2 linked regions of the Rhinolophus ferrumequinum genome follow. Each later gene encodes a partner of the first gene's protein in a complex. Links are inferred from orthologs where the notes say so. Each region holds a gene or a part of one and is shown on either strand. Other genes may lie near its edges. The genes, in order: IL22RA2 and IL22.

The links.
Region 2: the proteins of IL22RA2 (region 1) and IL22 are in contact, whole or in part, in a crystal structure (PDB 3G9V), measured with the Homo sapiens proteins. The link is inferred for Rhinolophus ferrumequinum from reciprocal best matches to the Homo sapiens genes IL22RA2 and IL22. Residues at the interface, in NP_443194.1 of Homo sapiens: Lys65, Ile66, Tyr99, Gly100, Gln101, Arg102, Trp104, Gln128, Glu129, Pro130, Tyr132, Met148, Pro150, Arg151, Thr153, Trp155, Trp156, Glu157, Glu200, Pro246, Met247, Leu248, Asp249, Arg250; in NP_065386.1 of Homo sapiens: Phe47, Gln48, Pro50, Thr53, Asn54, Phe57, Met58, Lys61, Ser64, Leu65, Asp67, Asn69, Thr70, Asp71, Val72, Arg73, Leu74, Lys162, Gly165, Glu166, Asp168, Leu169, Met172, Arg175, Asn176.

What each region holds. Positions count from the first base shown.
Region 1 is NC_046286.1:83,244,779-83,252,331, reverse strand, and holds the start of IL22RA2 (interleukin-22 receptor subunit alpha-2), read left to right. Parts: upstream 1-4,228; 5' UTR 4,229-4,380; coding exon 4,381-4,441; intron 4,442-7,553. UniProt on the Homo sapiens protein: Isoform 2 is a receptor for IL22. Binds to IL22, prevents interaction with the functional IL-22R complex and blocks the activity of IL22 (in vitro). May play an important role as an IL22 antagonist in the regulation of inflammatory responses.
Region 2 is NC_046293.1:64,568,082-64,576,028, reverse strand, and holds the start of IL22 (interleukin-22), read left to right. Parts: upstream 1-4,653; coding exon 4,654-4,836; intron 4,837-5,266; coding exon 5,267-5,335; intron 5,336-5,456; coding exon 5,457-5,600; intron 5,601-6,536; coding exon 6,537-6,602; intron 6,603-7,947. UniProt on the Homo sapiens protein: Cytokine that plays a critical role in modulating tissue responses during inflammation. Plays an essential role in the regeneration of epithelial cells to maintain barrier function after injury and for the prevention of further tissue damage.

The sequences.
Region 1 (7,553 bases):
AGAGGAGACAACTAGTAAAAGTTCATAGTGTGGGGATGTGCCTGTCATGTTTGAGAAATAGCAAAAAGACCTTCCAAGCTAGAGACCTGAGGGTTAGAAGGAGAGTTGTGGGAGATGATTTTAGCATTAATGGGGCCAGATTACTGGGCCTCGTACGTGACTGTAAAACGTTTGACTTTCATTCTGAGAGAAATGGGAAGACACTGGAGGGTTCTAAGCAAAGGCTCTGATCTGTCATTTAAAAGGAACACTTTGCCTAATGCAGAGGACAGTGGCAGAGGCAGGGAGAATGGAAAGGAAGCTATGGCTACAAACCAGGCAAAAAATGATGGTAGCGGGGACCTAAGTAGTTGCAGTTGAGGGGGTGACAGCTGGTTGGATTCTGCTTATGCCATGAAAATCTTTCTAGAGTGGAAACAACGTACAGGCATATGCTAATTCATGGGCACAATGATTAATCATATCCAGCAGGGTTTTCAAGGTCAGTGAAAGACCTTGGTCAAGGACAATCAAAGCAATATTTATAGCATCTTTTAATCAGAATAATATGAGTGAAGAGCAGAGAAAGTTATTCATGAAACCGTAAGTCCCATGAATGGAGATTTTAAAATAATGTGTTAGTGTTCATAGTCTAAAAATTAATCAAAATTAAACTTGATCAGATTGCTCATTGTATTTATTGCCTATATTTGACAAAGAAGTTCCTTTTTAAAATTCAAGTTCATCAACTATTTTGAAATGCATGACAATTATTTCCAGAATGCAGAACTGCTTAAAGGTCATAGGTATTACTCAGCAGAATTATTGAGGGACCAGCAGACACAAAAAGAACAAATAGTTTCCCAGTTTTTGGTGCTACAGGTATATGGTTCTCCAAAGGTCTGAAGGAGAGAACGGTGGTGTTCAAGCTATCATTCATTGTGAAACTTTAAAAAGTTATCCTGTTGCTTACCAAGTTATAGAATAAGGGAAAGGGCCTAGAGCAGAAACCTAGGCCATCTGATCCCAAGGAAGTAGTCCAGGACACCAGTTTTTAAACACTTTTCTAAAGGAGAATAAGGAACATGTGGCCCTTCACTACAAGACCTAGCTGAAGGACGTGATCTCGCTCCAGGAGCACTGGCTCTGCCATCTTGTTTACTACTGCTTGCCTAGCATGGTACCTGGCATACAGCACATGCTCAGTAGATTTGTTTGAGAGACATATGTGGAATATAAAACTGAAAGCAATAAATAAACAAGACAAACAAAAACTCATAGACACAGACAACAGTTTAGTGGTTACCAGAAGGTAAGGGAGGAAGGCGATTGTAGAAGAGGGTAAACGAGGTCAAATATATGGTGATGAAAGGAGAACTGACTCTGCGTGGTGAACACACAGTGCAATATATAGACGATGTATTATAGAATTGTACATTTGAAACCTATATAATTTTATTAACCAATGTCACCCCAATAAATTTAATAAAAAGAATTGATTGATGAATAAACAATGAAAGGAACGAACAGCAGAATCTTCTTTGACATCATTTTATCCATTTATGGAGGGAATATTACAAATGAAGAACAATGCATGGTGATTTTATAGTAGACCTCAGGCCCTGAGATCAGCCCGACCTGATTTTACTCCTGACTTAGTCACTACATGCACTGTAGAGCCTGGTCAGTTTGTCTTGGCCTCTCTCTGTCTCAGTTTCTTTATCTGTTATATCAGGATAATAATACCAATCCTGAGCTTGTTGTGAGGTTTAACCAAGAGACGGCATGGAAAGAAATTAACCCAGTGCCCCACAATTATTAGATCTTACCATTGGTACTGAAGTAGCATTAAAGTTACCAAAAGGAGTTTTATAAAGATGGCATCTTTATAAACTTTAAAAATGTTTTTCTTTTGTTATGAAAAATTTCAAGTATATATACAAAAGCAGACAGCATAAAGAACCTCCATGTACTCAATAACCAGTTCCAACAATTATCAGCTCATGGCCCCCTTCCCCAGCCCCTTGGATTATTTCAAAGAAAATACGAGACATCGTGTTATGTCATCTGTAATATGTCAATATATAGCTCTAAAAAATAAAAAAAGTAATAACCAAAATCCAATGACACACTTAAAAACAAGTAATGATTCATTAATAAGATGAATTATTGGCCTCTTGGAAGCCACAAAGAGAAAAGAAGAGAATCAAGGCCGGAGTTTAGTCAAATTTTCTCCAGACAAAACACAATGGAAGCATCCACTCTTACTGTCAAGGTGGACCCTTCCTGCTGAGGTTTGAGCGGGGTGGGATAGAGGGGAAGGGAGGGAATGAACTTGAAGCCAGAATTTCATTGCTGAAGCAAAGTAGAGCAGGGGTTTCCCCATTTTCTTTAATCTTCTTACTTTCCAAAGCAAATGACATTTTATTTGAAACAATTCTATACAAATTCCTCTGCCTCCAAATTAGTGGGATTTCAGAATTTAGTTTTATCTTTTCATCTCCCTTGAGGCACTGTTGGCAGTGTTGGCTTCTAGTACAGATTATATCACACAATTAATGAGCTCACTGAATGGTAACAACACTGGCTTAGTTTCTGAAATTTCACATAGCACAAAAACTTACACATCTTTGCGAGAACTCATTTCTCGGTATATTCTATGCTCTTCTCCCTTTCCCCCTAATTTCCTCTAACTTTGTTCTACAAAGTCAGTAACTCAGTGAAAAACCTCGATTTCATTCTCTGCTGCTCTACTTATTAAACCTTGAATTAAAATATTTTTCTTTTTATTCTTAACTGGAATTTGGAGCAACTTGATTGCTTCACACAAGAGCTATTGGTGTTGAAGATATTGAACATCAATAGTGAAAACCCAGATTATCACTTCTCCTTTAAAAACCAAGGTGAATGCCATGTCCAGAGTTCAGTGGGCAATATCAGCGAGTAAGTGAAGGATGATGCTGAAAAGGCTAGAAGACAAAGCGCATCAACATGGTGCAAAGGGAACTTAAGATCTACTGCAAGTTTCTTCTCTGAAAACCTACTTTAGTGTATAAGCAATGAACACTTTACTTGGAGGAGATAAAGTCCGAATTCAGAAGTCTGACAGTAGCATGGAGGCAATGGAAAACCTGGTTTTGATGAGTCCCTCCATACTGCTCTGGCAGTATGTCTACTTTCCCGTTTAGCAGTAGGCTTTGGGAAGACAGGGGCAATGCCTACCTTGCTTGCTGCTGTGTCCTTGCTGCTGAGAGCAATGCTTAGCACATGGTACTGCAGCACTTGTTAAATATGATCGCCTAAACGGATGAATGAGCACTGCTCAGTAACCATCGTTATTCCTTACAGAGGCCATTCTACCAAGAACTTGAAAGAGACTACATAGGAGGGAAAAGAAGTCAGAATATATTTCCTCTTTTGAGCTAATGAGCCTCTTTTAAAAAGAATCTTTACGACTTTCTTGTGCTTTAAGGTATAATTCTAGTGCCTCTAAAAACACGTGGTAAATTTTTTTGGTAAGAAAGATGATGTAATGAATCAGGGGCAAACAACAGATGACCTAGTTTGATCCGATTTCCAAGAAGATACGAAAAAGATCTAATGTTTTAGCTCTTTTCCACATCGAAGAATGATTTCTCCACATTCATCCTTTTAAGGACTCACTTCTCCACAACCTTTTAAGGACTCACGTGGTTTGATGCACTCAAAACCTTCATCAGGTTGCTGGGAACTGAGGTGGAAATGGAAAAAGAAGAGGCATTAGCTGAGTAGGGCTTAGGGCCACCATGGATTGGGAAGACAGATAAGTATGGCAGGGAGCCCTGTGGAGAGCCAGAGGATGTGGAGAGTATTAGGTGTGTCAGGGAGGTTAGTCAGGAAGCTTCCAAGAAGAGAGAAAAATAAGAATTAATCAGAGACCCACCTACTTTGAATCACTGTCAGGGGCCTTGACTGTTGCAACTGCCAAACACAGTGCTCAAAATTGTCCCGTCAGCCAAGTCCTGCTGGCTGGCAGCCATCTCTGCCTCCAGGGAGATTACCTGAAGATCTCAAGATCTCGCGTGCTCCATTCGCTCATGTAGGAGCATAATTCCTGCCCCATCCTGCCTCTAGTTTGCCAATCCTCAGTGTTTTGCCTTTCACCACTAAGAAAACCCCGGTCCCAATAAAATCGAGCTTCCACATCAAAGTCACTTACAGTAAATATTTCTTGAAGCAATTCTTCTACTTTCATAGTCTCCCTAAAATAATGAAAGATATTAAGTTAAATTGTATTTGCTTCAAGGAACTATTGGTAACCAAGAGGGATGCTCAAAGTGAAAATGTGAGTTTCCTCTTTTGTCCAGATCTGTGCTCTCACTGAGGGGAACGCTGGCTGTCTGACCAGTCACACGCGCAACCATGACGCGTGAACACTGCTTTCTAGGCTTCCTCATCAGTGTCTCCCTGGCTGGTGTAGTAGGTAAGTGCTTCATTTTTTTTTAATTGCTCACACTTTCATCATCTGAGTGTGTTCAAGGGACTGTTAGAAACGGCACTGGCACTTTGTGAGACTTGGAAAAATTTCAGCTTTCTCCTGTCATGAAATTATCAGCACAGACATGGGGTCGGTTTCTATCTTCAGCCTGAATAACTCCACGTGGACTTACTGAGTAGCTACTAAAGAGGAGGCTCTCTAGTGGGAGCAGAAAACTTCATACAGGACAAATGTACATCTCCGTCTCCTTGGCATTATTTTTCTTTTTTTTTTTTTTTTTTTTTTTTTTTTTGCCTTCAGGGGACATGATAGCACAGTGGGTAAAATCAGTCTCCTAAGTCAGACTGGGTCTGGATTTCAGTTTTGTTCTTTGCTCTTTGGGAAAACTTGGGCAATTGACTTAACCCCCTGTGTCTCCATTTCCTCATCTGTAGAATGGGAATTGCATGTATTATGAGGATTAAATGAATTAATATATGCCAAGTGGTTAGAGCAATGCCTAACCACTTAGAGGCCGTAAATAACATGGGAGAATTTGCTCTTGGTATTCACGGAGAACTCTTCAAAAGCAGAGAACATTTTATCACCCCAACATACCTCCATGTGAGGGGCTAAAGTAACTTTCCCAGGACTGTACAGTTGCCCCGTGAGTGATAACATAAAAACAATTCAAGCCTCCATCTCCCAGAAATGTGTGGATTTGTGTAGACTATGCCTTTGGTAACACCAAGGACTCAATTAGCAAAATACAGCAGGAATTCTCATGCTACCAAAATGATCCTGGCCCTACTTCTTACCGGGCCGATAACCTTGGGCAAGATACACAACTTCTTTAAGTCTCAGCTTTCCTATTGTAAACTATAAGAATAAGAATACCCACCATATTTAGTGGCAGTGGAAAAGAAATAAGATGTAAAGCTTTGAGCACCATTCATGATATATGTCTATTGCTCATCTATGTTCAATGTTCCGTGAACGCCAGCCAGGAGGAGGAGGGAAACAAGGAGGAAAAGGAAGAATATCTTCAGCCTCTAGTTGTTTTGCTTCCTCCATTAGCTCCTCTCTCCTGAGGCTTTGCCCTTGGTTTTCTGTAGTAGGTGACAGGCAGGCTCCGGAATCAGAATTCCCAGGTACAAAATCAGCATCACTATTTGCTGCTGTGCAAGTGCCTTCAGCTCTTCAAGACTTAGTTTTTCAGTCTGTAAGAGGAAGAATGCAATAGTACCTTTTTCATAGACGAGCTGGACAGATTCAATGAATCAATGCAGGTAAAAGACCCGCAGTGTCTGGTACTGAGTGATTTGCTATTATCTTTGATGGTGGTAGCAGTGGTGGTGTTACAAAAACGAAAGAAGAAATCCATAGACAGAGGAGAAAAAGGGCACTGAGCCATCTGTCTGCACAGCAGCAAGTCAACTCTGGCAGGGGCTTTAGGAAATTGTGCTTGTCATCTCCCAAAAAACTCTGGAATTCTTATGTACTAAATATGAGTGGTTAGGTAGTGGTTTTGGTGAGCAAAATCAAGAGTGGCAGTAGACTCTTCCCAAATACACACCACCATTTGATGCACTGAAGGAGGTCCAGAAAATAAAAATAAAAACAAACAAATAACAGTATTAATACTATTTGATTGGTAAAAATAAACACCTAAAGAAACAGCCCCATTCATTAGAAAATGACAAATCTTGAATGTTCAGAGCGGAAATCGTTGATTTAGGAATATTTGCTTCCATCTCAATGATATTTGAGCAAAGACGTGAGGTATGTAGAAATCCAGGGAAAAGTATTCCAGGAAAAGGGAAGGGCTAGTTTGCACACCCTCACATAGAAGCACGAGAAAGAAAATGAGGTCAGGGAAAAGACAGAGATATGCTTCCTGACTTCTCCTGCCCAGCTTCCTACCCCTGATCAGAAACTTTGGAGCCACAGGGGATGCAAAGCTTTACCTGTGCCCACCTTAGGTTTTCAGCTGGGACTCTTTAACAAAAAAAAAAAAAAAAGATTAACAAAAGAAAAACAGTTTGGGAATGCATGCAGCGCACATCACCGGGGAAAATCTAAATGAAGAGTCACTCAAAATGGCAGGTTAGAATCCCACTGATGAGTATGTAGCACCTCCAACAAACACCAATACATTGGTCGAGACATAACAGGACAAATGAAAGCAATTTTAGGCTTCCGAGGGTGGCACACTCTGGAAAAGTAAATACAGAGGATGCCAAAAAAACGTATACACATTTTAAGAAAGGAAAAAAACTGTATTAAAATTGTAATGCTCAATATATACTGATAATAAAAAATGAATACAAGTCACGTTTGACTTCTGCAATTACAAGAGGTGCTCAAAGTGGTTACCATCAGCATAATTTTAATAGTGTTTTTTTTTCTTTCTTAAAATGTGTATAGATTTTTGGGGGGCACCCTCTGTATATGAGAAGAAACTAATGGAGTAAGGCTTGTTTGCAGATTTTTCTGGTGCTGTCTCTGGGCTGAAAAGAGTCCGTCTCCAGAAAAAGGAGAATTTATATCCTGCCTTTAGACAGTAAACTGGGGAAGATAGAAAGAGCTTTTTCTGCTTAATTGTCTTCAGCTCAAAATAATTTTTATGTCAAAGAGGCGTATTTTGGGGTGACATATTTTTACTTCAAACATAGAATAAAATTTTGTCAAAGGTCTCTTCCCTCCATGGGACTAAATGCAAGTGGGGTTGTACCACCTATGTCACATGATCTGAGGAAAAAAGCACAAGCCATGCCAGTGCAAAATTATCCCTTTTCATTCCATGACTGCTGTCGAGACCCTTCTCAGGAACACTAGGCCCCATGGCAGTCTTGGACAGTCTCTCTCGATAGCATGGACCAGTTTATCTGAAGCAACAGGCTTGAGTATTTGAAGCCCCAATGCAGGCAGGTAAGTGCAGCCATTCAGGCGTGGGACAGCAAAGGCTGACCTACCTGGAATAAAGCCAGGCCAGCTGGGAGAGGTGAACACTGAGTCAGGTCGCAGAGGTTAAGCAAAAGGCTGAGAAAGAAGGAACCCAGAGCTGAGTCGATGTCCTGGAGATTGATCCCAGGACAAAATTTTGCCTCCGAGCAGC
Region 2 (7,947 bases), on another chromosome or scaffold:
TCCTCAGGAAAAAAGAGAAAGGTGGCTATGGTTGACAAGTATCTTTGTGGGCAAGGTGTGAGCAGGGTGAGGTTGCTATGGTAGGAAGTTGTCCCGGGGACTGTTAGGGTTCTCTTCAAACATAACTGGGAAATAAATAAAGTTCATGCTTGGGACCCCCAGTCTCTAGCTTTGTTTTTTGCAGGGTACCTCTATCTCTCCTCTGTACTGACCTTAAAAACAAACAAAAAAAGCTTCATTTTCTCAGAGATGAGCGTCCGAATAGTTTCTTTCTCCAAGTCAACGTGGTAGTCATTCACACCAAGGTGAAAGTGATAACGAACAGAATAAGACTTTCCTTCTGTAAAGTAACTAGGAATTAAAAATAGTACACAAGACTTCAGTGGAGAAAATTTAGAAACATTATCAAGGGTATAAAAAAAGATCCTAAGCAGTAAAGAGATGATGGTAAATGCTCTTGGGTGGAAGGAGTTCATATTATAAAGATGTTAATTCCCCTTAAATTAATCTTTAAATTAAACAATAGCCAAATGAAAGTTTCTGCTGCCTTTTCCCCAGACACTTGACAAGTTTATTACAAATGTATGAAAAATATATATGAAAAATGAAGAATAGCTAAATCAGCCCTGAAAAAAGTAAAGCAAAGAGGGTAGACTTTCCTGTCCAGATATAAAGACACTCTTCATTAACAAAAATATTATGGAACTGGCTCAAGAACAATAAGAAAAAAAAATCAGTGCAACAAAGTAGAGAGCTCAGAGATAGCTATTTATATATGGGAAATTCACATATGAAACATATGATAAAGGACTGTTTAGTGAACTGTATTGGAAAAACTGGCTCACTTTGTGGAGAAAATGAAACTGGCTTCCTACTTTCCATCATGTACAAAAAGGCATTAAAGACTTGATCGTGAAAGGCAAAACCATAGAATAAATAGAAGAAAAGCTAGAAGAATATCTTTGGTACCTAAGGATAGAGAGAGACTTTTTAAACAAAGCCTTGAAAAGTTCAAGCCACATAATGAAAAATGTCTTAAATGACACCCAAATTAAGTTTTCTGTTCAACAAAGGACAAATAGACAAAGTTCATAGAACACAAATTGAGAGAAGAGTTTGTTATGTCTACAACCCCAAAGACAGTAATATTTAAAATATGCAGGGTACTCTTCCAAATTAACAACAACAACAGACAAAAGCCCACAATAACAGTGGGCAACTGATGTAAACAATCAATTCATAAAAGAGGGCAACCCAAGTGGCTACAAATGTGTGAAGAAAAATGCAGATTAAAACAATAATGAGATAATATGTTAAATCCCCAAAAGCTGGCAAAATTAAAGCTGGAAAGTAGCAAGTATGGGTGGGGATGTAAGAAAACTGGAACCTTTCTTCATTGATCTGAGAGAGTAGGTGGATGCTGCTTTTCAAGAGAGCAATCTGGCCATATCTAGTAAAAGCAAATGAACTTATCCCTGTGACCCAGTGGGAGCTACTTCTGGGTAACTATTCCAAAGATATTCTCAAAAATGTCATTAAAATGTCTTGGAAGAGGTTGCTTAGTGATGCAACGTCTGTAGCGTGGGCAATTGGGGGTGATGTAGGTGATCATTAAAGGAGAAATGAGTAAGTAAAATGTGGATACACAATAGAAATGGCATGTTAGCAAAAGGAGCTACACACAGCAACACAGGTAGAGTGTAAGACCGTAGCGCTAAGTGAAAGATTAAGACAGAGAAACATTCAGACAAAATAAAAATACCTACCTGCACTAAACAATATTTTATGTTTTGTGAGGATGCATATATATTCAGAAATGTATATCAAATACATTACAGCAGATGTCTATGACTGGCACAGAGGTGGTGGTGGGTGTTTGGTGTGGAGGGAAGGAGAACAATGAGGGTGGGATCACACAGAGAGAGAGAGAGAGAGAGAGAGAGAGAGAGAGAGAGAGAGAGAACCTTGTATGAAATAATGATCATGAGTGTTGTATGAGGAATATCATGAATATAATACTTTTTACCTGAGTAACTTAAAGTCCCACTTCTCCTGGAGAGATGTGTACTTTAAAAGAATGCATTGTGGATTTCCAAGCACCATCCAATGAGCTGGGAAGTGGTTTTATCATGCAGTCCGTGAGTATTTATTTATTATCTGCTGTGTGCCAGGCACTGTTCTGCGTGCTAGGGCTAGTATAGTTAACAAGACAGAATAGCCTACCTTATGGTTGGCGAATCTGGTTAGCCCTTCCTGGCCCTAGACAGGTAAATTGTTGCATATACGCAAGATCAACCATGGGTACAGTCTGTCTGGGGCCTGGGAGCATGACACTGGGGTTCCCTTTATCTGGGGTTGCTTCTGGGAGATAATTGAAACTTCATAAGGAAACAACTGAAGAGAAGGCCCACTGTGATCTGAAATTACTTTGCACACATACAATGTCTTCAGTTATTTTTTTCCACAGGAACAGTTTTATGTTCTAGCCATAATCTCTTCTAATAGCAACTATTTTTGAGACTTCCTGTATGACTGTTCAGAAATCCTTACACAGCCCCAGAGCAGATTTTCACTTTAGTGGGTTTTGGTCAAGCTCACTAAAACATAAGATCTTAGCTCCATTAACAGTATCTTATGAATTGTTGTTCATCAGGACCATAAAATGAATAATAGTCATGTCGCTGCTATTAAAGACTAGTTTGCAATTTTCTGGGAGTATATTTTTGTTTCACAACTATTTATTCCCTATTCAGGAACAATAATGAAGCCGGCAAGTAGTACTGGGTCAAATCCCAGCTTTAGAGGTACTATAAAGGCAGTCCCCAAATTACCTCCATGCATGTTCCTAAAGATATTTAGTAAATTCTTTAATGTCACAGATCTGTTTATCTGTTCATGCAATATGTTCCTATTGAGTCCTTCTTGTGTGTGCAGTACTGTTCTAAGTGTTGGAGATACAAATATGGAAGAGACAGAGATTTTCCCCTCAATTCAATGACGTCCAAACTAATTTTCCCATGGGAACGAGATTATATATGTTTGTCAGGTTGCCAGGCAAACCAACCAAAGCCTATTTAATCCACAGTGGAGTTAAACTCTAGTGCTGATAAAACATTAGAGAGTTCTGGATAAAAATGGCCATATCTTACATTATAAGAAATTGGATAAAGAAGAGTTTCCTCATCTTGGGCTCATGAACCTTCCCAAGCAAATGTTTGGAAGAGCCCTGGTTAATATTTACTCTTCCCTACCCCTCCTTTTTGCATCATTCTCCGAAGTCCTTCTTCCCCAATGCTCAGTGTCTTCATGCTATTCCCACCCTGTACTGTAACTTCTTACCTAGGTCTGTGCCATCTCAAGAATAAAATGCTCAAAATTCTATAATTATTCACTTTCCTTCTTCCCGTTCATCAACACTCCTGGTTTTTAGTTGTAAGAAGAAAAATTTGATTGAACTAATTTGCACGAATTCACATTCCTTCTTCTAGCAATAGATCAATGCATTTGCTCCCTGCTCACACCCCTTGGAAGGGTTTCCAGTCTAGATTTTAGGTGTTATTTAGAACTCAATGTGTTTTTAATAATTTAAAGTCAACATATAACCACTATCTAGCCAGATTATCTTCTTCAGACATTCACATATATACTAAAGATTATTACAAGATTTTTGGAAATATCATTTGAGACTGTGTGTTGTTTAGAATAAGTGCAGGTGAAAATATCAAGATGAACTACTATATCACTGTATTCTTTACATACTTGCATGTTAAGAAAAATAGTGACCAGATTATTTTACATGAATATTTCCAAACTTCAATTGATATTGATTATAATTCAATGAAAAAAATTTTAAGGTATATTTGTACCTACCATAATTGTTACGATCACGTTTAAAAAGTCACAGAATGGGAGGAAAACCGTGTTTAGATTAGCCAACACTGTGATTTTTAAAATGTAACTTGTTTAGGATTCAGCATATTAAGAAAATGAGATAAAATTATTTTTAAAAGTGGAATTATCTTCAAGCTATCATTACTATTTATTTTAAAGCAGAGGATATAGGACACAGATCCTTATTTCTGGTCACCTCTAAGGAGATAAGAATCTATGAAGCACGGAGAAAAATGAGTCCTTGACCAAAATGCTTACTCAGTTACTATAGGAGATCAAAAAATATCATACTAGATCTGAAATATAGGAAGACAGAGTAATTGTTTTCTTTGAAAAATATGTAGGGTTTAGAAAATTTCTAGGATTTATCTGTAAAAACACCCTCTGGGCCCGAATAGTGACGTTTTAGGGAAATACTTACATATCAAGGTGGGAAGGATAGGAGGTGGCGTTTTGTGGGCTCCTATGGTGGTTAGGTAGTTCTCAGAAGACAGTACTGGAAATTAGATAATTGCTGATGTCATAGTTTTCACAATTTAAAAAAAAAATTGATGTCCTGGGGGCTATAAAAGCAGCAGTTTCTACCTTCTCATCACAAGCACAATCATCGAAACAGGTAAGTGTTTCAGCAAACTCACCATGATTGGTTTGTTTGGTGTGATATTTCATGATACTTAATTTTCTTTCCCTTTTTGTTCTTATTCTCTTGATACCAGGTGTTTCTTCCCTGCCCACCAGTTGCTTGAGTTAGAGTCGTCTGCAATGGCCACCCCGCAGAAATCTGTGAGCTTTTCCCTTATGGGGATTCTGGCTGCCAGTTGTCTTCTCGTTGCTCTGTCGGTGCAGGAAGGAGCAGCTGTGCCTCTTAGGTCTCACTGCAGGCTTGACAAGTCTGACTTCCAGCAGCCTTATATCACCAACTATACCTTCAGGCTGGCTGAGGAGGTACTCATCTCAATCTCTCTCTCTTTTGCATCTTATCTACTTGGAACCCGAATAGTTCTTAAAATTTTCTTCAGAGTAAATTTAAGATTTAAAGAACCCATTGGGTATCTCTACTGGCAGACCAAAGATCATTTTCTTCGTCTCTTCAAAGACTCTTTGGAGATTGGGCTTTACCAGAAGACCTACCATTTTGGCCTTTAAAATACGTACATTGAGGTTTACCCCAAAAGGAGCCATTTAGCAGCCCATCTGGCTATCGATTTTTCCCTTTACTCCTCTGTACGTTATTTTAAACTCAGACATACATCTAAGTTCTTTCTTTAGTCTTCACGGGGCTGCTCTAGGGAGATGGGATAAGGTACATCTCTATTTACAGGCTTTTTTCCTATTTTCTTGAAGTCCGAGCATTTAGTCTTTTCTTTTCTTCCAGGCTAGTATGGCAGATAACAACACAGATGTTCGTCTCATATCTATGGAGAAACTGTTCCGCGGAGTCAAGGTAAGTCAAGTAGTGATGAGTAAGGCACTATGTCAGCCGTGGTTATTTGGAACGATGGTGATGATGGTTTGGGTCTTCTGACTGCCCTGTAATACAACCTCTTCTTCACTTTTGCTTGCAGATGAGCGAGCGCTGCTATGTTATGAAGCAGGTGCTGAACTTTACCATTGAAGAAGCGCTGCTTCCCCAGTCCGATAGATTCCAGCCCTATATGCAGGAGGTGGTGTCCTTCCTGGTGAAGCTCAACAACAAGCTAAGCCAATGTGTAAGTTCTTCTCCCAGCCTAAGATCACCTAGTTACCTGCCTGCCTGCCTCCCTTCTTCCATTTAGAGCCCTTTCCGCCTCCAACAGTCCTTGCCCCCTCCCATGCTGGCAGTCAGAGGAGCCTCAGCAACACCACCATTATAGGAGTCATTTGGAATCAGAGAATATTTGTTTTTGTTTTGATTCCATCACATTTTGAGTTTATTGTGATAGATGGGATCTGAAAGGCAAGTGCATAGAAAGCTCATTTGTCCTTGGGAAAAAGTAACTCAGGTTATGTAGATGAAAAAGGTGTTGGGAGATTTAAGAAAGAATGTCTAGAGTTGGAAATGGGTCTGCCAAGTATAAGTTGATAAAGGGAGGGGATGGGAAAGAGAGAAAAAGGGAAATGGGAAATTTTAATGGTCTGTGGTGGGTGGGCAAAGACTCCTGCCTTTTTGATGTCATAGGAAGTGACAAAATCAAAGGTGTGTGAACTCTACGCCTCTGAACATTTAAAACTATGAGAAAAGTTTTGAGTGAAGTGGGCAGAGCAAAGGGGACTTAGTATTTATTGAGTAAGGCCTATTGTTCATACAAGACATTTTATGTATATTTCTTATTCTGAGCATGCATATTTGGTGAGGTACATTTAGGGCTTTAATCTTGACAGAATTTGCATAAACCACTCCACTCTTTCCACAAACTTAAACCTCAGTAGGAGTTCCCAAAGGTGAAGAGGGGTCCCATGTAAAAGAAATGACTGGATTTTGGTGTCCAAGGGAATTCAAGAGCTCAGAAAATCTAGGTCACTGGTGAAATCTAGGTCATTGCAGGCAAAAATGCTAAGAACTTTAATTTCATGTGAAAGGTGACATACCTCAGTTAGGGACACTGAGGTTCATAGAGCATCGGTACGGCAATGTTGAAACAAATGTTCTGTTTTTCATTTTGTAGCATATCGAAAATGGTGAGCAGCGTATCCACAGAAATGTGCAACATCTGAAGGACACAGTGAAAACGGTATTACTGATAACTGTTTATGCTAAGTCATTGAATAGGATAGAAAAATGTTTTCTTTTTCTTTCATTTCTTTCCTGCCTCAAGTTGTGACACGTTACTCTCCTACCATTGGGTTGACAATTTATGTGCATATGTAGATAGATGTGTCGATATATTTATAAATAAATTTCCAAATTTTGAGAATCATAGAATTCTAGAACTGGCTGGGGTTAGGCCATCTAATCTCATCACCCCATGTTCTGGGGATAGCCAGTGGCAGTCCCAGGGCTAGAATGCATCCACGTCAGCACTCTTCCAACAGCAATATGTATTACTTTTAGTATTTCTTAGGGAAATTTAAGATTCCTACTGATTCATGTAATCTGAAGATGCACTTGTTCAAAACCAGAAAAGGGCCTGGGGGCAAATTTATTTGAAGTGATTTTTGAAGCCATTAATTTGATGATTTAAAACTTGGAGAAATAAACCCAGAACAACCATAACAAAAGAGCTGGATTTGCATATAGGATGAATTTCTGGAATGATTGATACTTATAGTTAATTATCATAATATAATATCCCAAAGCTATTGATTTTAATTTAAAGAAGGAAGACTGAAGAACCCCCAATTTCCTTTATGCAGTTTCAAATAGAATGAAAACATTAACAATGGATTTAGTATAGTGAAATGGAAGTCCAAACTGGAAATCTTTTCTTCCCCTCTCTCTCCTCCTTCCTTTCTAGTCTTCTCCCTATCTCAGTAAATCCCTAATGAACATCTATCTGGTGTAGGATAGTGTGTATTTCCACAGTGAATGATACTGGCATGTGGCCTATTTGGGGCAAAAAAACAACAATAGAAGGTTCAGACTAGCAATTGTGACTCATCCCAAATGCAGAGGAATGATTATTAGCAGCGAAAGTGATGCCCTTGCAGATAGGAACAAGTAAACCTCAGAAACATGAAGGCTTTAGATAGGGGTGTCCAAACTGCGGCCCGCGGGCCAACTGCGGCCCGCAAACCATGTACAATTGGCCCGCAGCAAATTCCAAAAATGTATTTAGTTTACTTAAATAAACCAGGTGAGGCAATCCGTACTTCACCTCGAGTGAGTGGCCCGGCTGTGTGTGTATTTTACCGCATGTGGCCCTGGGTGAAAAACGTTGAAAAAAGTTTGGACACCCCTGCTCTAGACTGATGAAATTTTCAGTAACAAGCATACCCACAATTCCTCCTTTTTGCCATCTTGATTTTTTTATAAAGTATTTCTTCCTGAGCATGATTTAATGACCATGATTGTTTCTTCCTTTGATATATGAGGTGTTTGTAGCTTTTCATTGTAAAGATCAATTCTCTTGTCATAGA